7 linked regions of the Sus scrofa genome follow. The protein of the gene in region 2 purifies or fractionates together with the protein of the main gene of each other region. This does not show direct contact. Links are inferred from orthologs where the notes say so. Each region holds a gene or a part of one and is shown on either strand. Other genes may lie near its edges. The genes, in order: MED12L, CDK8, MED23, MED21, MED16, MED18 and MED13L.

Region 1 (4,185 bases), on a different chromosome or scaffold from region 2:
AATAGGCTCACTTCATGTGTAGCTCAAGAAAACAGAGGATGGGTGGGCTGCAGCTGGCAAACTCAGAAAGCACAGCTGGGTAGCAGGTGATCTTCAAAAAAAAAAAAAAGGCAAATCCCTGGGCAAATTGTGTAGCCAGGGGTGATCATTATAACTGAAGAGTTGTTACATAATTACTTGTTAACTACAAACATATACATGGCTACAAAATGTCATGGTTACTCTAGCCATTGAAGCTAGTGTATCTAGAGCAAGAGTCAGGTTTCTCCAATTAATTTCATTCAAAGAAATTAACAGCTCAGGAACCTAGTCCCTTCCAAGGTAACCCGACTGCTTTTACATATACAAAACAGCCTCCAGTAATTAAGCCAGTTGCCCGGCGATGAAAATTAGTGTTTCCCTTTTACATTGATTTTTTATGGGGAGAGGGGAAACAGAAGTGCGTCCAAAGAGTAAATATTCCATCACTTCGATAAAAACGACTTCCACTCTAAATTGGAAAATTCGAACAGAAAGGATCTTCCTCCCACCCCACCCCCTTCCCTGCTCAGCTGGCGCAAATCCCAAGACCTGTGTCGGATGCACCACATTCCAACATTTTTCAAAAAGTTTACGAGGATTTACCGAAGCGGCGGGGAGAAAAATAAAGCAGGCTGAAGCGGGGGAAAGGGAGCTGGAGGGTTTCCGCAAGGAAGAACCGGGTGAAGCGCCCGGCTGCGCTGTGCAAGGCCCGGGAACAGGGAAGCGACCCGGCACCGGGAGAGCTAGCTAGCGCCCTAGTGGAGCGCGGAGACTGACAACTGCTCCGTCTCCATTGCCGGGGGTTCCCCAGGCCCCCAGCCCAAACCCCGCCGCCAGTCCGCTTGCCGACCCTTCCCCCGCAGCGCCGGCGATGCCCCGCTGGGCCAACTTGGCCCCGGGTCAGCGCTGCGGAGCGCGGCTCCAGTTGCGGGAGAGGCCGCCGGCGCCCTTACCTCCTTCTGCTTGGGGTCCTGCGGGTAGACGTCGGGCGGCCCGAGCCGGGGGCGTTTCAGCGGTCTCTGCTCATAGCTGAGAAGCCCGAAGGCGGCCATGATCTCTCATGTTAACCGGCGAAATGAATGAGAGTTGGAGCTGGAGCAGCCGCCTCTGAGCACCAGGGAGCAGCACTTTGCAGACAGACTCCCTCTCTCCCCCTCCTTGCTCGCTCGCTGTGGCGCTGCAGGCAGGAATAAAGCAGGTTGGATGCTGCCGCTGCCCGGCACGCAGACACGCACTGATGGGGGCAGCCTTAGGCTGGCACCCCGCTGCGCTGGAGCCCCTGGGACATACCGCTACCGGAGGGGCTTGGAGGTCTGCCAGGGTCCTCCGCGGCGCCCGCCCCCGGTCCCCTCCACCCAGTCCCCAGGGGGAGGAGCAGCTGATGGGAACGTGTGACTTTTTTCACCAATGGACCCAAACCAACCCAGCCCGGCGCAGGGTGGGGGAAGGGCACGGGGGGGGAAAAAAAAAAAAAAAACTTTTCTTGGCGCCCCAGGCGGGTGGCTCAAGTGCTCGCCCAAGGAAAGGGTGGCCCTCCTACCCGAGGGAGAGAATGCGGAGCGGCCCGCCCCTGCCCCGCTCTTCGGCTGAGACCTTCCCCCGCCACCACGCGCCCCGCAGACCTCGCCACCTGGGCGCGGACCTGGCTAGGAAGGAGGGAAGCCTAGGAGAGAGGCCTGGAGGGAATGAGGGAGTCAGGGATGCGGACGGTGAGGAAGCGGTCAAAGCCTCCTAGACGCCCACAGGGCTCCGGTGGCGCATCCGCGGCTCGGGTCCCCTCGGCGGCTCTGGGAAGGCGCCGAGGCGCACTGCTGGCGGTCGCGGCGGCTGGAGGGGGCCGTGCTCACGGTGGCTCGGGGCCGACTTAACCCTTTGCTGCCCCTCCAGGGGCTGGGGAAGGAGGGGGGTTGAGGATTGGCAGCGAGAGCCGACGGGGGCAGCTAGTCCGCGGGCGTCTCGAGCTCCTCCTGCCAGCCGCCCTCTTCCCAGCCGCAGCTCCTCCTCCCTCCCAACCCCCGCCCCCAACAGTTTACCTGTTGGTCCCCGGCTAGTGGGCAGGGGCCGCCGACAGCGGCGGCACTTGGGCGGCCGCAGCCTCCATGATTCGGGCTGGGATGGGGGGAGGACTGGCTTTGATCTGATTTGTAAGGTATCGGTCTCGGCCAGGAGAGCTCCAGGGACGCCGCGAAGTTTGCCACTGTCTGGGGGCGGCTGGCGACGCCGGCTCGCCGCCGCCGGCGTTCTCGCCCCCACGGCCCGGGAGCGCGAGCTTCCGAGTTGGCGGACGGCGGCGCGGCGGCCGCACTGAGCATGCCCAGCTCGGCTGCCGGACCGCGGAGGAGTTGGCTGCGAGCGCGCTCCGATCCGCCTCTCCGGGTTTTCACAGCCGCAGAGCGCGCAGCCCGCGGGCCGGGGCGACGGAGCTGGCCCTGGGGTGAAACTGGGCAAGGGAGAGGGCGCCCCCAGGATCCCTTTCCCGGCCGCAGCCTGCGCCATCCTCCTCGACCTTTCCTAAAGTCGCTGTCCCCTCGGCCTGAGCCGGAAACCTCACCTGCGCCGGGCTTGCGGAGGGAGGGAAGGGATCCTCCAGGGGAGACCTTGGTCATCCAATCCGCCTGCGCTCCCCGCTCGCTTTGGGGCGTGGGCACCCAGATGCTGGGCCACCTGCCGCGAGCACTGCTAGACCGGAGCCGCGGAGGCGGGCCCAGTCTGTCCCGAGGGACCTCACGGGAGGCGCGCCTGGGAGGATGCGCTCGGCCAAGAATGATGGCTGCCATTTATGGAGCCCTTGCTTCGTGCCAGGGTCTTGGCAGTAAAGGTCTCTGATCCTTAAAAAAAATAAAATAAAATAAATTTTTAAAATTACAAGGCTTTACTGTACTCTTTTTATAGATAGAGAAATCAAGTCAGCTTAGGGAGACCTGGTGGCTTGCTCAAAGCCACAAAGCAAACTCTGCCGGATCCTAAGTTTCTGATCAGTTCTCCACGACTTGGAATTGGAAGGCCTGAAATGCCCTTGCCCGATAAGGTCAGGTTCTCCCACCTTAAGGAATTTCTCAGACTCCTAGTTCCATCCTCTATAAGATGATGGAAGCAGAATCTAACCCAAAGCCTTTGCACAGTGCCTGGAACATAGTAGGTGCTCAGGAGATGCTGGCTAACCCTAATGATCTACTTAACACTGCCGACTTTGAGCAAAGGATGGAGGGGAGGGGTGAGAAAAGGGTAGATAAGGCATGGCAACTTTGTAGGAGGCTAGTTCCTCATTCCCGACTCTGACCTATTAGCACTTCCCAAAGCACTTCCCTGAAGCCAAGTCAGGCCTGTAGTTTTTGAAATCTTTACTCAGTCTGAGCAAGTACTTTTAGAAAACAGTTACTTCCACCAAGAGGCATTTCCTGACAGCTCTCCGCACCCTCCCCCAAGGATTTCTCTTCCATTTATACCCTAGGTGTAACTTCAAAGCTGAACTTGCGCTTGGGGTATAAGCATCCATCAAATCGAGATTCCTTGCTTGAGAAACAGCAATTAGACAGTTACCTAATTTTATTAGGAAAATTGTCAATACATCAGAACACTACACAGAAAAAATGGCATAGTGAACCCCCAAGATTTCATCTCCCATCTGTGACAATTACCAAGGTTTTGCCATTCTCTTTTAATTCCACCCACCCCCCGAAACAGTGACATACACTGGAGGGGACAGTAATTGTTCACTGCTGCAACATAGTTACTTAACATGGAACCTGGCCTATAGCGAGCTCTCAAAAAAATGCTTGTTGGCTGGTGGCATGGATGCTAGGTGGGTGAGTAGGTGTGTGGATAGATTGATCACTGATGGTACCTTGGGTATGCCTTGTGCTGATACACAAATCTGGTAGGGAGATGTAACCTAAATTCTTCCTTTAGAATATCTTGGCCTCCAATTGTCCTCCACAAAGGAAAAAACTTGTAAAGGACTCAAAATGCTATCTAACTATAAAGACTTTAAAATCAAAATGAGTTAGCAGTGTGTCTACTGTTTGGGTAAAAGTGAAAGACAGTTTTCTGCTGGTCTCCCTTCTTAATTCCCTACCTTTTTTTTTTTTTTTTTTTTTTTTAAGGCAGCACCTGCAGCATATGGAAATTCCCAAGCTAGGGGTGGAATCAGAGCTGCAGCTGAGA
Region 2 (3,500 bases):
GATGGAGCACGATTAATCTGTACTTTCTGAGCAGCATTACATGATTTTAATTTTCTTCAGAGTATGTACGAGCAGGCAAACAAAACAGAGCTACAATAACTCTTAGCGATCTAGAGTGTTTCGGCACCTGTCCTAAGAAATGACAGTGCCGATCAGGCCTGTTCACCTTAAGAAGAACCAGTGGCTCCCAGAGCTTTGAAAACAAAAAAGATGGAAATACATGAACAAAACAATTAAAGCCTGACAAAGAAAGAATAAAAGGAACAAATACGTAAGGAAGGTAAAATAATCAATTGATGCCATATACATTTCTCTTCATTACTATTTTCATTAGGGCATTACAAATTGCTTTTTTTTACCAATTAAGTACAGAAACAGTGGGGGCAATTCCTTACCTTTTATTTTTATTCCAGGGCGTTAAAACAAATGGGATATGGATACCATAAAATGTCACCAACACCTAAGCGATTTTAACAGAATCTTTCTTTGACTCTTTTTACCGCAACTATTTTTGTTACCCTCTGACCCAGCTAAATTCATTTCAATATTCCAATTAAAATAAGAAAATAAAATGGAAAAAGGGTAGGTTTTAGTAAACTGAATTACTACTGGGTTTTTCTTTATTTATTTTTTGTCTTTTGCCTTTTCTAGGGCCGCTCCCGCAGCATGTGGAGGTTCCCAGGCTAGGGATCCAATCGGAGCTGTGGCCACCGGCCTACACCACAGCCACAGCAACGCCAGATCTGAGCTTTGTCTGCGACCTGCACCACAGCTCACGGCGTTGCCGGATCCCCAACCCACTGAGCGAGGCCAGGGATCAAACCCGAAACCTCATGGTTCCTAGTCGGATTTGTTAACCACTGCGCCGCGACGGGAACTCCACTACTGCGTTTTTATTAAAATGAGCATTGAAAGTATTTATCTGGTTTAAGTGAGTGTCGGTAAGATGATGATGAAGTCAGTGGTGACCATCTCTGAGCGTGTTACAGGCAGCGTAGTAGCTCGTGAAAGCAGTTACGATACCTGCATGTAAAATTAAATATTCCACACCTGCTGGCGAGAAGCCACACTGAATACCATACCATCTCCTTTGCTCCACTACCTTTGACTACAAATCATGTTTATAAACCGGCCTGGAAATACTTCCATAATTTGGATTATATAATTTTGTTAAATTTGAGTATGATGAGTGCTCAATTCAATATTGGCCACCCTGATTGAATGAATTTTTATTAATAGAAACCTAATCTGATTTGATCAGATTTCTTTTAAAAGAAGAGAAGCCAACCGGAAAAAAAAAAAAAAAAAAAAAAAAAAGGAAGACATTTACAACCATCACGGACCTTGGACAACAGTTTCATAAAACAGAAGATTTCATGTGTATTTTTTTCTGTTTGAGAACAATTCCTTCCAGATAACTTAGAAAAATAAAAATAACTTGAATCAAATCACATTTAGTTTAGAAAATAGGGCTCTACAAACAGGATGAAAATATTCTTTATAAATCTGAAAGCAAATGAAACTAAAATAAGTTTCAATTTCTGAAATCTGTTAAAGTTAAAATCATGTAAATGGAGCTACTTCTGGAAATAAGCAAAAAAGTTTTTATTATTTTACTATTTGCAGAAGGTGAACTTACTTTTAAATAGTTTTATTGGAATTCGTGCTGGTTTTATTTCAAAATTTTGAATTTGTATTTACACACTACAGCTCAATGAAAATAAAAATCATTCTGAAGACTGTGAAACTGAACCAAGATACTTACAATCCCTTGCATATCAGTTTAAGTTTTCCCTTTTTTTTAGCTCAATAATTACTCAGTCATGCTTTTTGGTAAATACAGACCGGTATGCAAAACACAGTGAAATATTCAAAGACCTAATTACTTATTAAATATCAGAAAAAATACATAAAGAAAAAAACATTTCACAGTAGCAAAGTAATTGTTAATGAATAAACTTGTTTACTTGTTTTGTTTCTTCTACTGAAATCTTTGCTAACACATTAATACAAAAACGATCACGATATAAGTTTTGTGAGTATGTTTCAAAATTATTTCAGCTATCCTACTATAGATTTCCATTATATATACCACAAAGTCTTATCCCCAAGTTAGCACTTTAGGTTTTTTTTTAATGTAACTTATATTTAATAAAGGAGTAAATTTTATAATTTTTAAGACCTGTATAAATCCCATTTTAAAAACAATCTGCTGAATAAATGCAAAATACAGCTAGGAAACCATTCTTAGAGAGCTGTTTACACTCTTCAGGGTCTACTGTTTTCTGCAGTGTGTTACACAGACCAAGCTGCTAAGATCAGAGGTAACGATACAGAGCCATGCTCTGGCCTTGGTCACTCATCAACCGCGTTCTATGGGGTTACCTTTATTCTAACAGTGGGCCTCGCAGAGTAAGATGAGCTCCTAAGACTGTTTTCAGTCCCTCTCAATCCCTGACCGAAACCACACGTCCACGGCCACCAGCAAGTCACCTTACCCAGAGGTCATGTTCCGCGTAGTCAAACAGAAGCCACACTTTCCTATCTGCGTGAGACAGAAACACCTTTTGAAGAGAGATGACATTTGGATGCTTAAGCTCTCGAAGTAGCTGCAAAACAAAGGCGATGCATTAAAAATCTTTGTCATAAAGATAACACTTTAAAACCCCCACCCCATTTGCAATTCTAAGGCAATACTAAAACCTAATGTGAATCAATACTAAAAGTACCCCCACAACTCTGAGATACTAAAGAGGTGCTTTGGTAACAAATGAGGAAAAAAAAAATCTGTGGGAAAAGATATAACTTAGTAAATCTGTCTGTACAGTCGTTATTGCTTGGTTGGTTTCTTTGTTTTAGTTTTTTATATAATGTAAAAATATGACATAAAAACGACCATTTTAACCATTTTTCAGTGTACAACTCGGGAGCACGGGTACACACACAGTGCTGGGCAACGAGCCCCACCAGCCACTGCAGAACCGCCTCAGTGTTCTCCGCAGACACTCGGTGCCCACTAAACACCAACGCTTCCCTCTCCTCTGCCCTCAGCCCCTGGTCACCTCTAGTCCACTTTCCGTCTCTCCGAATGTGCCTACTCTAGGTACCTGGCATAAGAGAACCATACAGCCTTTGTCCTTTTATGTCTGGCTTGTTTCACTTGGCTCATCGTCTTTAAGGTATCTCCGCGTTGTAGCCTGGGTCAGAATTTGACGCCCTTTTACCAATGAGCACATTCCACACTATGGATCCACCCCGACTGGTGTGTCCCCTTTTCAGCTCATGGACACTGGCTGCTTCCACGTTGTGACCGCTGGAATAATGCTGCTCTGAACACGGCTGTACAGACAGGTACCTCAGTCTCTGCTTTCAATTCTCCGAGTAAATACCCTGGGGTGGAACGGCTGGGTCGCAGGATAACTCTACGTGTAACTTCCTGAGCAACCACCAAACTGGTTTTCATAGCAGCTGTACCAGTTTACATTCCTATCAGCGCTGCA
Region 3 (3,885 bases), on a different chromosome or scaffold from region 2:
TTTGGAATGTGTATGTCCTTATATATTTTCATTTCCTTTTATTCTGTTTTTATGCAGTATTACAATTATTCCCACTCTAGGATCTCAAAACAATATATACCTTGCGGCAGCAAGAATATATTGCTGAGACTAGGTTAAGAGTAATACTTGAAATCATTTCTAGCATAAAATTTCTGGAGAATTTTAAGAATATTATTAGTTTGGAAAAATTCTTATATGATTATATAAATTTTAAGGTGTCCCTGCACAGCAATAAAAATTAAATAATTATGATAATATGAACCACCAAGATAAAGGTCTAGGAGGAATGTATGTGGAAATTAAAATTTGAAGTATAGTTGGTTAAACTTCACTAATTCTTTTTTTTTCTTAAAAAAATCAGTAACTCTTTAACTCCTAGGTCAATGACGGTCACCAACTATAGTGTACAGCCTGTGGAAGTAGCTCAGTTCTCTGTCCTAACCCAGACAGTCCACTGCCTGGCACAGAGCAGACACTCATTCAAACTGGGTAATTAATCAGTTTATTCATTCAACAGGTTTTACAAATTATTTTTCAAATCTTTTACAATTTTAATGTCATTCCTCCCCCCAATTAACAGTCTCTCAAAATCTAATAAATTCTAAAGAACCAAAATGTACATGATATTTAAAAATATAAATACTTAAAAATTTTAAGATTATAAAAATTCAAAGAATCACATCATCTGCCAGATAAGAATGGCAATCTCGAAAAGCAATTAATTTTTAAAAGCAGAGATTGAATAATCATCACTTAAGCATCATTTCATTAAGTTTATGCATTCTAGCTTTGTTTTCTTACATGGCTTTCAACTCATTTCATACAGTAAGTTCAAGTCCACAGCAAAGGCAAAAACTTGCCAATATACTGTGATAGAAAAACTAGCTTATTTACTTGGGTATCTATGATAAAAAAAAAAAAAAATAAGCCATTTTAAAAAGAGTATGAAAGTATTCTTGCTCCAGTAATGCAATGAATTCTAGAGTCTTTTACTTGACAATAATCTCTTATCCCAACGATATCCCAAAAGAGATGTATGTATAAAAGGATTTGTAATAACTATTTTATATGTGTGGTGACTTTAAAAAATGTATTTAAAGACTGAATAAGTCATTAATACTAAAAAACAAAACAAAACAAAAACAATGGCCAAAATAGGAAAGATTGAGAGTGCCTTGTACAAGTCACTTGGTAGGTACTTCCCTGTTCCCAGGTAGCTCTAATGCACTGTTATAGGTATGAACAGCGTGTAGCTTACTTGATCTCTTAGAGACAACATATATAGGGGGAAGGGAGTTGGAGTCAATAGATTCACCATTTGAATCAAAATAAAACAATCTGAACGTCACTGCTTTGACTACTCACTATGCAGCATGACCATGTTCAGATTTAATAATTCGAGTCCATTTTCAAAGACGGACGCCTTTCCACTTCACTGCAGCACACTCTGACTTCACTGAGTCACAGGTAGAGACACTGGCCCCTGACTGGACTGCGGTGCTGGAGACCCACTACTGATGGCTTGTGGAGGCACTGCAGCTGGCTCCATCTTGCTGATGTGAGTGATGAATCGAAGACGAAGTTTTAAAGCTGGTTTTAAATTACAGATAATCTTCTCTACCTAAAATGAAAACACATTAAAAAGATATTTTAACCAGAGAACTTCGACTTCCTACCTTTAAGGAAGCAATTTACCCAGATCATGAGACAATAAACTAGGGAGTGGAATGAGTGGATGAGAAATTTTATGTTTTAACAAAAGCAGATAAAACTACTTCTCTCTTACATGAGGAAAACATGTGCTGTCTCTTATATATATATACATATATATATATATATACATGCACATACACAAAGATATTCACGTACCCAGCTAGCCAGTTATCCCACTGCCAAGAGCTAGTATAGTTCACACTGGGAATTCTACACATCCACGAGGGTGACCATCCTTTTAAAATGCCATCTTCACAGAAGCATGAAGCATGATTCTATTTCAAAGTTCTTTGAATAACTAATGTTCATAAGATTTATCTATAAAGCTAACATTTTTTTTGGTTTTGATTAACAGTTGGAATTCAAACTAAATATTAGCTCTATTCTTACTTAAGATACCTTAAAGAAATACTTTAAAGAAAGCAGTTCCATGGCTTTCTTAATTTATTCAAATGTTCATTTGATCAGCCCATTAATAAATCTCTCTCTCTTTTTTTTTTTGTCTTTTTAGGGCCGCACCCACAGCATATGGAGGTTCCCAGGCTAGGGGTCAAATTGGAGCTGTAGCCATTGGCCTACACCACAGTAACAGCAATGCAAGATCTGAGCCACATCTGTGACCTACACCACAGCTCATGGCAACACCAGATCCTTAACACACTGAGCGAGGCCAGGGATCAAACCTGCATCCTCATTGATGCTAGTTGGGTTTGTTACCACTGGGCCAAGACAGGAACTCCGATTAAAAATTCTTCCTTCCTGTGTTCTGTATTGGGTCAAAGTTTCCTAGGCCCAGATAGAAGGGATATGCTAAACACAACACTTCTGTACTAGTCCCATTCAGTGCTCTTTGACAATCTTGCTGAGACATAAAGGAGTCAAGCTCCAAGAATGAATCCCGAAGACTAGAATTCACAGGTTTATGCGTATCAATTTATGTTCCTTTCTCATTTTAGAAAGAAATAACATTAAAGAATGGAGAGGAGATCACTTAACTTCACCTCCACCTACCCTCCCTCTACCCTTCTAAAAGAGCCAAGATTCTGCTTCCCACAGACAGAAACCTCAATTATGATCTAAGGAGGTCCTTTCTACTTTGAGACCACCTTACCAGGGGGTGGCTCTTTGTACATTGGGTCAGAACAGGCCTCCCTTTAACTTCACCAGAGTTTGTATGCCTTTTAAAGTGATGCAGAACAAATTTAATACTGATTCTAGATGTCAACCAAATAGTAATAAGGATACAATTAAATAGTAATGAGGATACAATTAATTCCCTGGGACTTTTAAAATTCAAGTTAAGCAGCCCAGGTTCCCTCAAATACCTTTCATTAGTTATTCTCTTGACAGCTTTAGTCCTCTAGTTACACTGCAGTTTGTCTGATGTCCTGACAGTGTATCCTAATCACTGTGGGGAAAGCTAGGCCCTGCTTCACTCATAACGTAAGGCCTCTCTGATCTTTCCAGTAGCCATAATGTACTGTTTCTTCCTAATGAGTTTACTATTAATAAACCCCCCAGGTCTTTTTCGATGTTTTGTTGCAAATACCAAGGGGGGAAAGTGTGAGAAATTATAATAGGTATTTACTTTAATACTACATCCAGAATAATGTGCTCGTGTAACCTAAAAAGGTCCATTAGCCTTGTCCCCTTAAAAGAAAAAAAAAAAAAAAAAATGCACCAAAAAACCCTACTCACTCAAACAACAAAGTCCAATGGTGTATGTTTAAGTTTTCTAAACTAAACATCATTTAAAAATAAAGTTAACTTACTTGCTCTTTCACACTGTCGCCAGTGAACATATACTTCATGTGATACAGGAAGTCACAGATAGGATCCATGTAGTTTAAGTGGGTGCTACACTGGTCTACATTCAGCAACATGTCATAAAAGGCCACACCAATCTATTTAACAAACAAGATAAAATGATTTAAATGGTCAAAAATGAGAGGATAGATAACATATTCGTTGAGGAACTGTCACTGTTATACAGACCTCTAAGCACATGAAGGACACTATATTGCTTGCATTTATAACGGAATCCAGAGAGCTACAGGGTGTCTGCTACACTAATAGGGCTTAAATGCAATTTCTTTTCCTAACGTAGTAATTTCTCTTCAAATTAAGAGGCAGACAATCCCTTTTCTAGAA
Region 4 (4,046 bases), on a different chromosome or scaffold from region 2:
GATAATGCTCCTGATGTATGGGTCACCAAGGTAAGAGGAGCTTATTAAGTTGTTTTCCAGAAATTTGGAAAATCTGAAGTGGGCTTCCACCCAGTTCAGACCAGTTAAGAATAGTTGGGACCACTGATCATAAAATAACAGAAATATATGCCAATACCTCACCTTTCCCCACTCCTGAGACCACCCTGCTTCTTTATTCCATAAATACCTCAAGCTTCTTGCCTTCTGGGAAGCAATCTGAAATTTGTTCTCCTTTCTCCTCACTTGGCTGTCTCCTGAATAAATAAAGCCCTCCTCTGCTGCAAACTTCAGGCATCTCAGTGTTTGGATTACTGCACCCTCAGCAAACACATCTGGCTTGGTAACATTACTATTTCCAAACCTAAGACTCTTACCCTCCCCACCAACTTCTCTCAACAGTCCTGACCTCTTAAACCTCAATTCCTTATCTGCAATCAGTGAATAAGTATTTCCACTAAGTTTGACTGCCATCATTAGAATGACAGAACTCAAAGTTAACTGTTTCCTTTAATACTTAATTTGTATTGAGAATCTTCTAGTCAACCAATCTACCTTCAGACTCTCAACTTTCATCTTCAAATCCTGTTAATACTACTACAAATCTTTACCTTTTCCTCCTCCATCGCGCTGCTGTTTTAGTTCAACCAATTACCTCACATAAGAGTTATTTACAATAGCCTCATGATTTTCTAGCTCACTATGTCATTTACTTAACCCTGCTCAAAAATCTTGAGCTCACCCTAGCATTGCCTTCAAGATAATCTCCAACTCTTTAAGGCTCTTTCCAAGCTTTCAATAATCTAGGTCAACTCAACTTGTTCATTACCTACTACTCTTTCATATTCCTGACTAGTGATAAATTCATTCCTGATAACACTGCATTTGCTCACATTTTGCAAATGTAAGGGAGTGGCCATAAGTGCTCTGAAGCTGTACAAATGTGGATTCTAATTCTGGCAAATAGAGTTTTAAAAGAAATTTTAAATTGGGAATATTCTCACATTACAGCATTGTTATGAGGAACAGAGAAAATACAAGAATATTCAACACTGTGACTATGTCCTTATGAAGCTCTCAAGATCCAGTTAGTCACCAAATATTTATCAAAAATCAACACTATGATATATCAACTGTATATAACTATATAAACATTCTAAGTTAGAGCGTGAACAAGACAGTTTCTGCTCTCATGAAGTTCTCAGAGGATAAAATTATATTTTAAAAATTTTACAATTATGAGTCAGAAAAACACTAAGACTCCCTCCTAACAGCACTCACTAGCCCACTTTACTTCAGCACTTACAGCTGAAAACACTCGATTCAACTCCCTAACCATATACTGCTTTTGTGTCATTTATTTAAATGTCTCTTGAGTATATGACGTCTTTCTAATCAGACTGCAAACTCCTTAAGGAGCATCTCTCCATAAACATTATAGTGCTTCTACACATACTAGTTAACCTAGAGGCTTCTTTGCAAAATCAGTATGCCTACTTTTGGAGTAAAGGCCATATTCACTTTGTTCTTACTATCCTTCTGGCCAGGAGACATGGATGACTATGCGATATTTCCCCTAAAATAACATTTCTATCAAGTAGCATCATTACAATTTGATTTTGTAAAACCTCAAAGGACTGTCTCCCCAAGGTAGGTTGTTCAGTAGTCCAGAAAAGTCACCAAAGGTAGAATTTACCTTGGTGAATTCATCGACATTTAGGGGCTGGCCCTCATAGGCAAAGTAGATCAGTTTTTAACATGCAGATTCACACTCAATATGTGTACATTCACACTTATTGCTCACGTACAAAGACTGAGCAATAACAAGAATGCCAGCCTATTTCCTTCTAGTGAGAAAAAAAACTAGCAAGAGGTACCTGGATTTTCCTGTCAACATCTATAGGCATCTTCTCTGGGACATCAAATTACAAACAGAATGAGAGAAATGTAACTACCGATAGAAAACAATTTAGCTCTTAACGGTAATAAGCATATGAATCCCTTGGTTTGCATCACTTTCACTTCACATAACAGGAAAAATAATCAGAAGGTTCAAAGTAAGAGGGCCAATTACAAGATCTGACTTTAATAGGGAGTAGAACTTTTGGCAGACATTTTTAAAAACTTAAAGAGACAAGGATCAGAAGATTCACTATCATAAAGATGTCAGTTTTCCCCAAACTTGACTTACGCTGGGGGAGTGGCCAAGAGATGCAACGACCCTTAGTCTACAGGAACCAACCGAGATGAAACAAAATTACTCACTTTACCGTCACTCCCGCCCCAACCTGAAAATTTGGGCGAAGGATTACTCTTCGCTAAGGTCCAATCCAATGGTTAAGAACACGGGTTTCCCTCCAAGGGTTAAAATGTATGGGTGCGGGAGGGAGTTTCCGCTTCCTCTCTCTTCCCCGCAAGAGGGGCGACCCCATAAGCACCGCTGACAAGAAAATAAAGCCGTTCCTAGAAAACATGACAAGGCCGTGAGGCTTGAGACTAGGCAGGGAGACCCTCCACCTCGCAGGCTGAGGCCGCGGGCTCCCGCAGCTCCGCACCATTCCACCGGCCGCCTCGGCCTCACAGACCGCGGCGCCGCCTCCCGCCGACCCGAGCGTGCGTTGCGGAAAGACGCTCCCCACTTCCAAGCTTGCCCCCCAAGTCCCTTTTTCTAACTTGCTTTCCCTCAGGAAAGAAGACGGAGACTAATCGAGTACAATTGCTCACCGAGTTCACGGCGTCCTGCAGCTGTGTCAGGCGATCCGCCATGTTTCTCCCCGCAAACAAAGAGACGCTAAAGCAGCTGCTCGGATGCAATTGGGCAGCTTTGGTAAGCGTCACGACCAATCACAGGGCTGAGTTCGTGGAGGGGGTGGAGTCAAGCCGAACTCCACTCCCCGCGCTAAGCGGCTGGGCTTTCCTAAGGCTTATTTTTGTTCAGACCAGCTGCACCTGGGGGAAGCTCCGCTGGGCCCACGTTTAGTAATTTGGGGGCTTCTGGGGTGAGCCAATGTACTTTCTCATGGCTTTTAAGTAAACACTTTGTGGAGACTGGATTCGCGGTTTTTCTAAGTAAGTTTCCCTATCCTCTTTGTATCTTTTTTTTTTTTTTTTTCTTCTTTTTTGAAGGGCCGCTCCTGGAAGTTCCCAGGCTAGAGGGTAGCTGCCAGCCTACAGCAAAACAGACACAGACACAGCCACAGCAAGGAGGGATCCGAGCTGCATCTGTGATCTACACCACAGCTCACTGCAGCTCAAGATCCTTAACCCCCTGAGTTAGGCCAGGGATCCAACCCGCAGCCTCATGGATACTAGCCCTGGTTTGTAACCTGCTGAGCCACAAGGTTTGTATCCATTTTTAAACATCACCTTGAATACCTATTTTACATTGCTTTGGCTTTCTAGGTAGACCACATGGCCTACACAATGAACAACTAAAGAATACTTGGGAGTTCCCACTGGTACAGTGGATTAAGAATCCGACTACAGTGGTTAGGGTCTTCCAAATCCCACTGGTTCAACAGCTTTAATCCCTGGCCCAGGGAACTTCCACATGCCTGTGCGGCCAAAAAAAAAAGGGGGTTTTTTTCTAAGTTTTACTATTTTCATGTAAATTTTATGAATTACTAGAGTCCACATGGATTACTCCTCTCTCCTTTTATGATTTCGACACTTTCACATATGCCTTTTCATGGGCTTTTCTTTTTTTTTTGTTTGTTTGTTTTGTCTTTTTGCCATTTCTTGGGCCGCTCCTGCGGCATATGGGGGTTCCCAGGCTAGGGGTCCAATCGGAGCTGTAGCCACCGGCCTACACCACAGCCACAGCAACGCGGGATCCGAGCCGCGTCTGCAACCTACACCACAATTCATGGCAACGCCGGATCGTTAACCCACTGAGCAAGTGGCAGGGATCGAACCCGCAACCTCATGGTTCCTAGTCGGATTCGTTAACCACTGGGCCACGACGGGAACTCCTCATGTGCTTTTCTTGAATCCCCAACTGGAGCATGTGGTTTTAAGAACAGGACCCA
Region 5 (4,124 bases), on a different chromosome or scaffold from region 2:
TTTCCACGTGCAGGGCCAGCTTCACACCATTGTGCAGCCAGGACAAGGCCACGATGGGGTCCCCCTCCACCAGGCTGCCCACTGGGCTCTCCCAGCTGTTGGCCAGGTGGTCTGCCATGGTCCAGCACTTGATCTGCCCATCAGCATCGGCCGACAGCAGCCGGGAGCCTGCAGGGGAAGAGGGGGGCAAGCCTGTGTCACAAAGCACCCCCCCCAGTACATCTGGGGCCTGGGATGGGAGACAAGCAGGGGCATGGCACACATGTCTCCCAGGAACGACTCTGGTCACCAAAAATGGGAGGAGAAGGAGCCGAAAAGCCACAAGGCCAGGGCTTTCATCCTAGTTCTGGACAGTGGGGACATGACCAGGAAAAGACAGAACAAGTAAGCTTGGGATTTGAGATCAAGGGTGAGCCCCACCCTCACCTGACTGGTCCCACTCGAGGCAGGTGATGGCCTCGCTGTGCTCCGAGTTGATGGAGTGCACGTCCCAGGGGTGCTCCGTATCCAGGATGTGGATCATGCGGGTCAGGTCTGCAAAGGAGGGCCAGGTCAGCGGCAACAATGGCAGGGCCTCGAGTGCCTGATGACCCCAGGGGTAATGGGAGCAGGTCCATGACTCTGCCTCCAGAGAGGCTACAACCACTTTCAAAAGAGACATAGAAAATGGAACTGGAAAAAAACAAACCCAAAATGCTAACAGAGAGTGGCTCTCTGGGGAAGGTAATGCCTTTTTTTCTTCCCCTCATCCAAAATGTCTGTGTTTTTCTCCTTTCCTCTAGGAGCATGTGTCATTCAACAATAGCGAGAACACAGGCCCAGCAGGCAGGCTGCAGCTCAGAGGCTTTCAGAAGCCAAGCAGTGACATATAAGGTCTGGAAAACTCAGGCAGGAGCCTCAGCAGGGGCTGGGGACCACCCTCATCTGGACAGGTCCATCCCCTGGGGGTGATTCCAGTGCCCCCTGGTGCCAGGTGCCCTCTGGGCCCTCACCACCCCTCATCACACATGAGGGAACCCTGAGAGACTGGACAGGCCTGGAGGTCCATGGGCACTGGGGCACGAGCCCATGCGGGGGGCAGGAGGGGGCGCACCCTGGTCGTCGTTTCGGAGATCCGTGGTAAAGGCGATGAGGTTGCGGCAGGACCAGGCACAGGCCAGGGGCACCGAAGGGCAGTGCGTGCTCTTGGGCCATTTCTCCCACTCACAGACGTACGCCAGGTCCATGGTGCCCGGCTGCCAAGGTCATACACAGAGGGCGGTCACCAGCTTCTGAGGGAGGGAGGACCAGTTTGTCACAGACGTTCATGCAGGGCCTCAGGGCCCAGAGCGCAGTGCTGGATGGTGGGTCACTGCAGGGACCCAAAGACTCAATCCCTGCTCTGTGTATGTCAGGGGAGCTATATCTGACACATGGATGGCCAGGGAGGCCTCCCAGCGTAGAAGTGAGGGATCCAGGAATGCAGCCTGGAGGAAGGATATCCCAGGCAGGGGGAACAGCCAGTGCAAAGGCCCAGAAGCTGGACCAAGCCCAGGGTCATCAAGGAGCGGCAGGGGGCCCATGTTGCTGGAACTGAGTGAGAGGAAGGGAGGGGTAAAGTGAGGGTGGGGTGGGTCATGCAGGGCCTGCGCTTTCACCCTGAGTGAGGTGGGAGCCCCAGGGGAGCTGAGACCTTCTTATGTTTCACACACCCCTCTGGCTGTCTGGAGAGAAAGGCTTAGGGACAGGGTGGGGGTGACCATGCCAGTCCAGGTGAACAATGATGGGGACCATGAAGCAGTGAGGAGAGGTGGGACTGCTCTATCCTTAGAGAAGCCTTTGGCAGAGGCAAGGAGGCAGGATGGGGGGCAGGCAGCAGCTTGGTGCAGCACTTCAAAGGTAACAACCGCAACGGAAACAATGAACATTTCCACCTGCTGTCTATGTGCCGGGCATTGATTACGGTTATTTTCACCGTTACCAGAACCCAATGAGACTGTATGACCAACCCATCTTTCTCAATCACTTCCCCCAGGCCTCCCGCTTCCTCAAGCCTTGGCCAGGAACCCCAAGGCCCTGCCCAGAGGCCCCTTCAGCAGTCTTTAAGCTCTGCCCTCAAAGCTCTCCAGCCCCGCCCCCTACAATATTTGCTTTCCAGACCCCAGTCCCAATTTGCCCCTTGTGTTCCCAGGGATAGCTTAAATTTGTTCTCTCCCCAGGGTCTCCCAAACAACTCGCCTCCCTATAACCACCTCCAAATTCCCAACCCTCCAAGTCCCGCCTCTTTTTGCCACTTCAGGCTCCACCCCAGGGACCACTACCCAATAGCCAGGTGCTGGTCTCCAGTGGCCGCCTTCCAGCCCACCAGAATCCCCAGGCCCCTCCCCAGGAAAATACAGCCTTAGACCTCCCAACCCCTGATCAGGTTCCAGGCCCAGCCCCGATTTTCCCCAGCTCGGAGTGCCCGGATTCCCAGACGCCTCAGACTTTCCCCCAAGTTTCCGTCGCGACCCCCCCCCCCCGCCCAACGTGCTCCCGGGCGCGTACCCAGCACCCCTTGCTCTCCAGGCCCGCCCTCTAACCCTACAGGCCCCGCCCCCGGCCCGCTAGTCGCCGCCGCGGCCGTAGGCACCGTCCTGAGGCCGGCCCAACGCCCAAGTCCCCAGTCCCCGCTCACCGGGACGGCCTGTTCTCCCAGCCGAGCGGACGGCCACGGCCTGCACTCCACCTATCGGCGCGGCTACGGCACCGCCATCTTCCCCGGATCAACGAGTCGCCCACGTAGCGCGGCCGTTTCCCGGAGACTTCTGGGACAGCAGCGGCTCCGGCCCCGCCCCACTACCGATATAATTTGCATACATACATTGATAGTTTCCCAACAGCCACCCGAATTATATTTCGTGAAAGAACACTTTCTCAACTTCAGTGAGTAGCCTCATTCTGTTAAGCTATTGTTGCACTGATATCAGAAAAGAAGAGACAAGTTACTGAGTATTTTTCTTCTAAACGGAATTCACCCTTAGCGTAAAGTATTTTATACTCCGCCCTATAAATAGCGGTCGGGTTAACCCCGGTGTCGTGCTCGCTTCGGCAGCACATATACTAAAATTGGAACGATACAGAGAAGATTAGCATGGCCCCTGCGCAAGGATGACACGCAAATTCGTGAAGCGTTCCATATTTTGCTTTTCCTTGCTTCTTTTCCCCGTAAGCAAGACGGCTTAACCAGTCGTGGGCTTCTCTGGATTCACTCGTCTCCCGCTATCAAAAGCTGGTTCTTTTTCTGTCGGGCTCTCCCCAGTTGGGAAAGTCTTTTCTAGGAAGACCTCCTGATATTTCGGGGAAGGTGTACTGGGCTGCAGTTAGCGCCTGGGCAAAGGTATGGGGGCCGGGCTCAGGGAATCGGAGTGGGAAGAAAACAGCCAGCTAGGGGCAGCCGCAGGACCGAGTCTGTGTGTCAGTGCAGGAGGCCTGTGGAGTCCCCTAGAGCCACCACACCCGCGCCCTGAAGTCCAGACTGGCCTCCAGGCACCAGAAATTCGGTCCCCTTCACAGGTGGGAGCCTCCAAGCTGGTTAATCCAGTATCTCCTGATGTCCTCTGAGCCATTTGGATTTCCATTATTTAGCATCTGTGTTTAAAACTTTTTAAAATGCCTGTTAAAATGGAACTCAGCACACTTAGCACCCAGTTCTTGGTTTCTAAACGTTGCCCCAGTGAAAGGAACTGGGCTCCTGGGCGAAATGCCTGGTTCTAGAAGGCAGCACAAATATGCAGAGGAGCCCGGTGCTCAAATAAATAAATACCCCGCCTCAGTGAGACAGGAATCACTGAAAGAGCTCCCAGTATCCAAACCTGGAACAATCTGAGCAACAAAATGAAAGGATATTGTGTTGTAACCCAAACAAGAAAGCGAATGTCCAGGCGTCTGTACTGATATAAACAGTTAAATAAATAAATACACAGGGGGAAAGAGACAAATGTCACCTGCAGGATTCCCAGTAATTGAGGCAGATAATCCATCTTCAGGGAAATGGAGATCAGGGTGAGGTTCAACAGTGAGGAGCCCTGTGGACAGCAGGGACCCCTGATTGGGGCCAGGTGAGAAGGGCAATCAGGATAAAAGCAGATAACCCAGGGTGACAC
Region 6 (4,165 bases), on a different chromosome or scaffold from region 2:
TATGCCAGAGCCACAGCAACGCGGGATCCGAGCCGCGTCTGCAACCTACACCACAGCTCACGGCAACGCGGATCGTTAACCCACTGAGCAAGGGCAGGGACCGAACCCGCAACCTCATGGTTCCTAGTCGGATTCGTTAACCACTGCGCCACGACGGGAACTCCCTGAATTTTTTAATAATAAAACATTTTTTAAAAAAGATGTTGAACTGGAGTTCCCGTTGTGGCGCAGTGGTTAACGAATCTGACTAGGAAGCATGAGGTTGCGGGTTCGATCCCTGGCCTCGCTCAGTGGGTTAAGGATCCTAAAAAACTGCCTCCCCCCAAAAAAAGATGTTGAACTATTGTGTGAGAAGAGACAGATGATCAAAAGTGGAAGCAATGCAATAAGCACAAAATTACTAAAATAGTTCAAAGGATGATAAACCAAGCCATTGCATGTGGAGAAAAGACATATTTAATATATATTTTGGAAGTAAAATAAACAGAACTAGAGATAAGCTATAGGTGAGAATAAAGTGAAAAAATGGAGATTGATTCCTGAATTCATAGCTTGAGCAACTGGTGAATGACAGGCACTTACTAAGATGGAAAAGACTGAAGGAGGGACAGCTGGAAGAATGAAAGTTAATAACCCTACTTCGTTCATATTAAGTTTTTTTTTTTTTTTTGTCTTTTCTAGGGCCTCTCCCCAGCATATGGAAGTTCCCAGGCTAGGGGTCTAATCTAGGAGCTGTAGCCGCCGGCCTACGCCAGAGCCACAGCAACGGTGGGATCCAAGCCGTGTCTGCAACCTACACCACAGCTCATGGTGACGCCAGATCCTTAACCCGCTGAGCAAGGCCAGGGATCGAACCTGCAACCTCATGGTTCCTAGTCGGATTCATTAACCACTGCACCATGACGGGAACTTCCATATTAAGTTCTTAAATGGATAATTCAAAGTCTAAACTTTTTTGCGAAACATTATAAGGCCTCCTGAAAATCATTACACTGAGTTTTGAGCTTTCTCATCTGGGCAAGTTACTTCAATTCTATTTCCTGATCTACAAGAATTAATAATAGTATCATAAAATTATCATATGATCCATTAATTTCACTTCTGGATATTTAACCAAAAGAATTCAAAGCAGGATCTTGGAAGAGATATTTGCATACACATGTTCACTGCATTATCCATGTTAACCAAGAGGTGGAAGCAACCTGAATGTCCAACAACAGAAGAACAGATAAAGAAAATGTGGTATATACATACTATAGAACATTATTCAGCCTTTAGAAAGGAGATCCTGTCTCGTGTGATAACACGGGTAAACGCTGAGGACATTATACTAAGTGAAATAAACCAGTCATAAAAAGACAGATACCATATGATTCCACTCATATAAAGTTATCTAACGTAGTCAAAATTAGAAACAGAAAGTAGAAAGGTTTGGAATTCTCCTGTGGTGCAGTGGGTTACTCATCCTGTGTTGTCATTGTAGCTGCCAGAGCTGCTCCTGTGGTGTGGGTTCGATCCCTGGCCTGGGAACTTCTATATGCCGTAGGTTCAGCAGAAAAGAAAATAAAAAAAGAAAAAAAAAAAAAGAAAGTAGAAAAGTTGTTGCCAAGGGCTGGGGGGAGGGGAAAGGAAGAATGAGTACAGAGTTTCAGTTTTGCAAGATGAAAAAGTTCTAGAGATTGGCTATACAACAATGCAAACATATTTAACACTACTAAATGTTATGCTCAAAATGTTTAATGCTATATGTTTGTGACCATAATTAAAGCCAAATTGAAAAAAAAAAAAAAAAGAGGTGCCAGAAATTATGTAGCCTTTGTATATTAGCCTTTCATCTCCATGGAACCTGAACAGAAAAGAGGAAATCAGGTAATCTAAGCTCCCTAGTTCACTTACCCTGCAGCAGGTACTCCATCATGTTAATGGTGCCCCCGGTGACAGGCATCATAGTGACTGGAGGTGCCTCCATGCTATCTGTTTAAGTTGAAAGCAACAGAACCGGATTCAGAGTCCCAGTCAAATAAAGCACAGGACACACCTGGAAAAGAGTTATGCTTGTTAATACATCAGAGAGATGGAGAGACACCAGATCTACCTGGGTCATTAGCCTTAACATCAAAAGATTCATTCATTCATCCAGAACTTTTTGAACAACTTCCATAAGTCAGTTTCAGGAATTGATGATACAGAAATACACAAAGGAGGCCTGATCATGGAGTTATAATCTTTCAGTCTCAAGGTCTGAAACCTTCAGTTTCAGAATTTCCTGTGCAATAAGCCATCAAACCGCTGACCCTGGGATTCAATGTCTTCCTTATAAAATGAGGTCGACATTTAACCCCCAAGGCTTTGTGGCTCAGATGACACAATAGCCGTGAAATAATAGAACTGAGAGGTGACTCCCCTTCAATTTGGAGATGAGGATACTGACACTTTGGGTGGGGGTTGGAGGGAAGGATACAGAGCAAGTCCATGGCAGAGATAAACCAGACAAAAATCTAGGCGTTCAAAACGCCTTTGAAAGCGAGCCAGACAGAAGTGCGAAGTTCTTCTGACGATTGAGGTCCTCCTACCCCACCATCGACGCGTGCCTACTCACACCAAAAACACACCTCCGCGCGTGTTCTAGCCTTTTCTGGCAAAGCAGGGAACTGAAGCCACCAGAGCACCTCGGAGCTTTTTAGCGATAATTAGCCCCCAGCACTGAACTTGAAGACCCCCACCCCCCGGTGGAGTGCAACACTTTCTCCCCTCCACTTCCGGCAAAAAGTCTCCGTCGCGCAAATCTTGACATCACCATTCTGCGACGTAAGGGTGCCGGGAAGGCATAAAAATCATCTCTGCGGCCTGGCAAGTAGAAGCGCATGCGCAAACTGCGATTCTGCGTGGAAGAGGGCGGCCTTCCTGAGCGCGTTCCTCGGGGCGTGAGGGGGACCTTGACATCAAAGGCAGTCCTCCCGGAAAATATTTTCCTTTTTTCAAGTGTGACGGCCTGGAGTTGTTTTTGTCAAGGAATTCTTTTGGAACTTACAGGGGGAAAAGAGAGCCGGGGGAAGAGAGCTGAAGAAAAAAAGAGATCATAAAACCAAAACTTCTTTTGGTTGAGTACCTGAAGATAAGAAGGAAAGACATCTTTTACTGTTTAGCAGACTGTTCTGAACAATTAGGGAACTCAGCAATACATTTGATATTTGTTCACTCTTCTGTGTTTATTTTACCTCAATTCAAAAATTTTGGGAGATAAGTAAATTCAGCTCATTTATTGAATGTTGCTTGTGTGTCAAGCATGTAAAATGCAAAGAATGGAGCTAGAGTATGGTGGTTGAGGCACTCCCTGGAGCGAAAAATTTAAGGGGCACCAAAACTCCTAACAATTCAAAAAATTGTAATGCAATCTTTTACGAATTTAATGTGGAAAAAAAATCCTTAATGAACAAAATATTGGAATTTTTGATCTTCACAGCAGCCCTGTAACCCAAGTATAATTATTACTTAATTTTACTAATGGAGAAACTTAGGCATCAAGAAATAACACACCAGGGAGTTTAGACTGGGGTACAAATTTAAGCAGCTGCCTGATTTCAGAACCCACCCTCTTAATTGCTACACATCTTTTTTTTTTTTTTCTTTTTAGGGCTGCACCCTGGCATATGAAAGTTCCCAGGTTAGGGGTTGAATCAGAGCTTCAGGTGCTGACCTATGCCACAGCCACAGCAATGTGCGATCTGAGCCGCATCTGTGACCTACACCACAGCTCATGGCAATCCTGGACCCCCAACTCACCGAGCAAGGCATATAGAAGTTCCCAGGCCAGGGTTGAATCGGAGCTGTAGCCCCTGGCCTACGCTACAGCCACAGCTGTGCCAGATCGAAGCCAAGTCTGCAACTACACCACAGTTCATGGCAATGTTGGATCCTTAACTCACTGACTGGGGCTGGGGATGGAACCTGCATCCTCATGGGTACTAGTTAGATTCATTTCTGCTGAGCCATGATGGGAACTCCTATACAGTCATTTATAATTCCAGTTTCCCCTGCTGTAATTTATACTGTCTTACTCATTTACATTTTTAAACTTAAAAAAAATATTACCCACATTTTATCTGACATTTCAAAAGTAGGATTAAATTAAAAAAAAAAGAATAGGTAAGAATTGGGTGAACAA
Region 7 (3,500 bases), on a different chromosome or scaffold from region 2:
GAGGGCTGGATTCACAGGGACAGACGGTGGGTCCAAACTCTCCGTTTCCTGACCTCGTGGCTGAGGGCTGAGTGTTGGCGGCAGAGGGGAAATAGGGGAATGAGGTGAATCCATAGGATTCAGATTCATTTGCTTGCTTGTATTTCTGGAAGGCACGGCCATTTGCTTATCATACTTCCTACTGCTAGACACCTCTAAGGAGGAGTCTATCCCTGCCAACCCTAGCTTCTGTCCTGGTGGATCTTGTTCCATGCATAACTCTTCGGCCACAGAGGGCCTATGATGAAATGGTATCAAGGGTCTCTTTTGCAACTTGTCTCCTTTTTCCTGTCTTTCTGTTGTTTTGTGCTTAGAAGAAGCAGGAGGTGGTAAAGATGAAGATGATGATGGTCCTGCACTGAACCCTGGTTGTGATATTGTGGGAGGTCGACTAGGTCCTACTGCACAACGCTTTAAAAGTTTATGCCTGAAATGAGAATTAAAATGAAGTCAATAGATACGCAGATGAAAATAAATGCATCATTCTATTTATTTATTTATTTTGGTCTTTTTAGGGCCACAGCTGTGGCATATGGAATTTCCCAGGCTAGGAGGCCAACTGGAACTGTAGCTGCCGGCCTATGCCAGAGCCACAGCAACATGAGATCTGAGCTGTGTCTGTGACCTACACCACAGCTCATGGAAATGCCGGATCTTTAACCCACTGAGGGAGGCCAGGGATCGAACCCATGTCCTTATGGATGCTAGTCGAGTTCGCTAACCACTGAGCCATGATGGGAACTCCTGCATCACTGTAATATTATGGAAGAGACACTTCTGACAAGGTTCTGTCTTTTAAAACATACATTATGTGCACTAATACATTTAAGTGAACTCCAGGTGTTAAATATATTCATAAGGACTAAAAAATGCAAAACCCCCTAAGAGAAAATGATGAACCAATCACATATAAGTTAGGTAGATAAGAGGTAGACTTAAGAAACACTGATTAAAATGATACTCATAACCTCTACAAAAATACTAATTTGAAAAATCCCCAAATCCTTCAAATTTGATGAGGGTCTTAGATAATCTGTTCATGTTGCATTTTAAAACCAAGAGTAATGAGACCATCTGTCAAGAAAAAAAAAAAAAAAAAGCTTTCAATTTCTGTTTTACAACACGCTAGTAAGTCCAATATAGAATGGTTTATAAAACTTACAAAGTTGTAATTCAGGAATAAAATAACTATACAACTCTCCCCCAAAGTGGGAAACTAAGAAAATAAGGTCAGCCTTAAGAATATTCAATAGGATAAATAGTATACTACGAACCTTATATGCTACTATCATCTAAGAAAGACTGTATAAAAGACAACTTCGGATCTTACACAAACAGGTTAAAATGAGACAAGTAAAAAGGCTGTGAGAATATTAAAATGACGCACATATACAAAGGTATCTATACTATATAAGCAGGAATAACAAGTCTATTCACATCCTAATACACCTCTTGGCAAGCAAGGCAAGCTTTCTCCATAAGGGCCCACTAGATGATGCTAAGATTTAATCTGTGCAAAAAAGTTACATAACAGGTTAGCCAGTTCCTCCCAATATATAACTCATTCCCATGGAAAAATGTAAGCTCTCCTGCCAGTGTAGCAGTAACTCTCTGAGGCCACCAGGGTGGCATTAAATTACTGCTGCACTGCACTAAATGATGCCCTAGTGAGCAGTAAAATGAATTTGTGTGGTATAATGGGATGGTTTAGTGGGACAGCAGGATGGCCACCCTGCCCTATAAAGCCATTAAACAGTGTGAAGGGTGGACCTTTCCATAAGGGGGTTGGTAATCCTGCAGCAGACAATCTGAAAACACTCTTACCAAAGTCTTTGGTACTCTTAAAAAAAAAAAAAAAAAAAAAGTTAAAGAAAAGAAAAAGAAAAAATCCTGGAGTTTCCACTGTGGATCAGTGGTTAAGAGTCCGACCAATATCTAGCCATGAGGAAGGATGTGGGTTCGATTCTGGCCTTGCTCAGTGGGTTAAAGGATATAGCATTGCCATGAGCTATGGTATAGGTCACAGATACGGTTTGGATCCGACGTTGCTATGGCTGTGGAGTAGGTCAGCGGCTACAGCTCTGATTCAACCCCTAGCCTGGGAACATTCACATGCCGTGGGTGCAGTCCAAGAAAGAAAGAGAGGAGTTCCCGTTGTGGCGCAGTGAAACAAATCCGACTAGGAACCATGAGGTTTTGGGTTCGATCCCTGGCCTTGCTCGGTGTTGCCATGAGCTGTGGTGTAGGTCGCAGATGCGGCTCGGATTTGGTGTTGCTGTGGCTGTGACGTAGGCCAGCAGTAACAGCTCCAATTTGACCCCTAGCCTGGGAATGTCCGTATGCCCTGGGAGCAGCCCTAAAAAGACAAAAGTCAAAAGGAAAGAAAGGAAAGAAAACGAAAGGAAACGAAAGGAAAGGAAACGAAAGGAAAGGAAAGGAAAGGAAAGGAAAGGAAAGGAAAGGAAAGGAAAGGAAAGGAAAGGAAGAAAGAAAGAAAGAAAGAATCCTGACTTTGAAGAAGGCTGCTTATGCATAAAGCTATTGTTAATAAGGCAAAACTTGGACTTAAATATCCATGGCACAGTACCACAATAAGAGATGAAGGTCTCATCTGAAAATATCTCGATTATAACTTCTAAAGGTGAGAAAGACAAACACCATATGACATCACTTATATGAGGAATCTAAAAAATGGATACAAATGAAATTATCTGCAGAAAAGAAACAGACTCATAGACTTTGAAAACAAACTTACAGCTACCAAAGCAGACAGGCAGTAGTGGAGGGATGGACTGAGTGTCTGGGAATGGCATATGCACACTGTGATACACGGAATGACTGGCCACTGGGGACCTGCTGTATAGCACAGTGAACTCTACCCAATATTCTGTGATAATCCATATGGCAAAAGCATCTTAAACAGAATGGGAGTTCCCATCATGGCTCAGTGGAAATCAATCTGATTAGTATCCATGAGGATGCAGTTTGATCCCTGGCCTTGCTCAGGGGTTTAAGGATCCAGTGTTGCCATGACCTGTGGTATACATCGCAGACGTGGTCTGGATCTGGCATTGCTGTGGCTGTGGTGTAGGCCTGCGGCTATAGCTCCCATTCGACCCCCAGCCTGGGAACCTGCGCATGCTGCGGGTACAGCCCTAAAAAGACAAAAAATAAAAAAATAAAATCAAATAATGTAAAATGGATGTGGGTACATGTATAACTGACTCGCTATATTGTATAGCAGAAATTTTCACAACATTGTAAATCAACTATACTTCAATAAAACTTTAAAATTAAAAAAAAATGAAACTACTCTTTGGTACTCAAAGTCTTTGGTACTCTTAAAAAAATAATCCTGACTTTGAAGAAGGTTATCTATGCATAAGACTATTGTCAATAAGGCAGAAATTGGACTTTAAATCTCCAGGGCACAGTACCACAGTTAAGAGATGAATGTCTCA

Evidence for each region.
Region 1: the proteins of CDK8 (region 2) and MED12L purify together in Homo sapiens (affinity purification with mass spectrometry; 3 studies listed by BioGRID and IntAct, counting the BioPlex papers as one, with this or other methods). This does not show direct contact. The link is inferred for Sus scrofa from reciprocal best matches to the Homo sapiens genes CDK8 and MED12L.
Region 3: the proteins of CDK8 (region 2) and MED23 purify together in Homo sapiens (affinity purification with mass spectrometry; 10 studies listed by BioGRID and IntAct, counting the BioPlex papers as one, with this or other methods). This does not show direct contact. The link is inferred for Sus scrofa from reciprocal best matches to the Homo sapiens genes CDK8 and MED23.
Region 4: the proteins of CDK8 (region 2) and MED21 purify together in Homo sapiens (affinity purification with mass spectrometry; 14 studies listed by BioGRID and IntAct, counting the BioPlex papers as one, with this or other methods). This does not show direct contact. The link is inferred for Sus scrofa from reciprocal best matches to the Homo sapiens genes CDK8 and MED21.
Region 5: the proteins of CDK8 (region 2) and MED16 purify together in Homo sapiens (affinity purification with mass spectrometry; 10 studies listed by BioGRID and IntAct, counting the BioPlex papers as one, with this or other methods). This does not show direct contact. The link is inferred for Sus scrofa from reciprocal best matches to the Homo sapiens genes CDK8 and MED16.
Region 6: the proteins of CDK8 (region 2) and MED18 purify together in Homo sapiens (affinity purification with mass spectrometry; 5 studies listed by BioGRID and IntAct, counting the BioPlex papers as one, with this or other methods). This does not show direct contact. The link is inferred for Sus scrofa from reciprocal best matches to the Homo sapiens genes CDK8 and MED18.
Region 7: the proteins of CDK8 (region 2) and MED13L purify together in Homo sapiens (affinity purification with mass spectrometry; 6 studies listed by BioGRID and IntAct, counting the BioPlex papers as one, with this or other methods). This does not show direct contact. The link is inferred for Sus scrofa from reciprocal best matches to the Homo sapiens genes CDK8 and MED13L.

Annotation. Positions count from the first base shown.
Region 1 is NC_010455.5:91,270,203-91,274,387, reverse strand, and holds the start of MED12L (mediator of RNA polymerase II transcription subunit 12-like protein), read right to left. Parts: upstream 2,801-4,185; 5' UTR 2,573-2,800; intron 2,552-2,572; exon of another isoform or gene 2,518-2,551; coding exon of another isoform or gene 1,753-2,517; intron 1,199-1,752; 5' UTR 1,074-1,198; coding exon 975-1,073; intron 1-974. Other genes in the region: basic salivary proline-rich protein 3-like, read right to left, coding at 1,753-2,517. UniProt on the Homo sapiens protein: May be a component of the Mediator complex, a coactivator involved in the regulated transcription of nearly all RNA polymerase II-dependent genes.
Region 2 is NC_010453.5:4,113,442-4,116,941, reverse strand, and holds part of CDK8 (cyclin-dependent kinase 8), read right to left. Parts: intron 2,610-3,500; coding exon 2,499-2,609; intron 1-2,498.
Region 3 is NC_010443.5:31,998,207-32,002,091, reverse strand, and holds the end of MED23 (mediator of RNA polymerase II transcription subunit 23), read right to left. Parts: intron 3,639-3,885; coding exon 3,507-3,638; intron 1,643-3,506; coding exon 1,475-1,642; 3' UTR 501-1,474; downstream 1-500. UniProt on the Homo sapiens protein: Required for transcriptional activation subsequent to the assembly of the pre-initiation complex. Component of the Mediator complex, a coactivator involved in the regulated transcription of nearly all RNA polymerase II-dependent genes.
Region 4 is NC_010447.5:46,733,582-46,737,627, forward strand, and holds the start of MED21 (mediator of RNA polymerase II transcription subunit 21), read right to left. Parts: upstream 2,801-4,046; 5' UTR 2,785-2,800; coding exon 2,743-2,784; intron 1-2,742. UniProt on the Homo sapiens protein: Component of the Mediator complex, a coactivator involved in the regulated transcription of nearly all RNA polymerase II-dependent genes.
Region 5 is NC_010444.4:77,489,629-77,493,752, reverse strand, and holds the start of MED16 (mediator of RNA polymerase II transcription subunit 16), read right to left. Parts: upstream 2,801-4,124; 5' UTR 2,657-2,800; intron 1,272-2,656; 5' UTR 1,227-1,271; coding exon 1,094-1,226; intron 535-1,093; coding exon 427-534; intron 169-426; coding exon 1-168. UniProt on the Homo sapiens protein: Component of the Mediator complex, a coactivator involved in the regulated transcription of nearly all RNA polymerase II-dependent genes.
Region 6 is NC_010448.4:85,382,720-85,386,884, reverse strand, and holds the start of MED18 (mediator of RNA polymerase II transcription subunit 18), read right to left. Parts: upstream 2,801-4,165; 5' UTR 2,600-2,800; intron 2,039-2,599; 5' UTR 1,970-2,038; coding exon 1,897-1,969; intron 1-1,896. UniProt on the Homo sapiens protein: Component of the Mediator complex, a coactivator involved in the regulated transcription of nearly all RNA polymerase II-dependent genes.
Region 7 is NC_010456.5:36,326,029-36,329,528, reverse strand, and holds part of MED13L (mediator of RNA polymerase II transcription subunit 13-like), read right to left. Parts: intron 467-3,500; coding exon 1-466. UniProt on the Homo sapiens protein: Component of the Mediator complex, a coactivator involved in the regulated transcription of nearly all RNA polymerase II-dependent genes.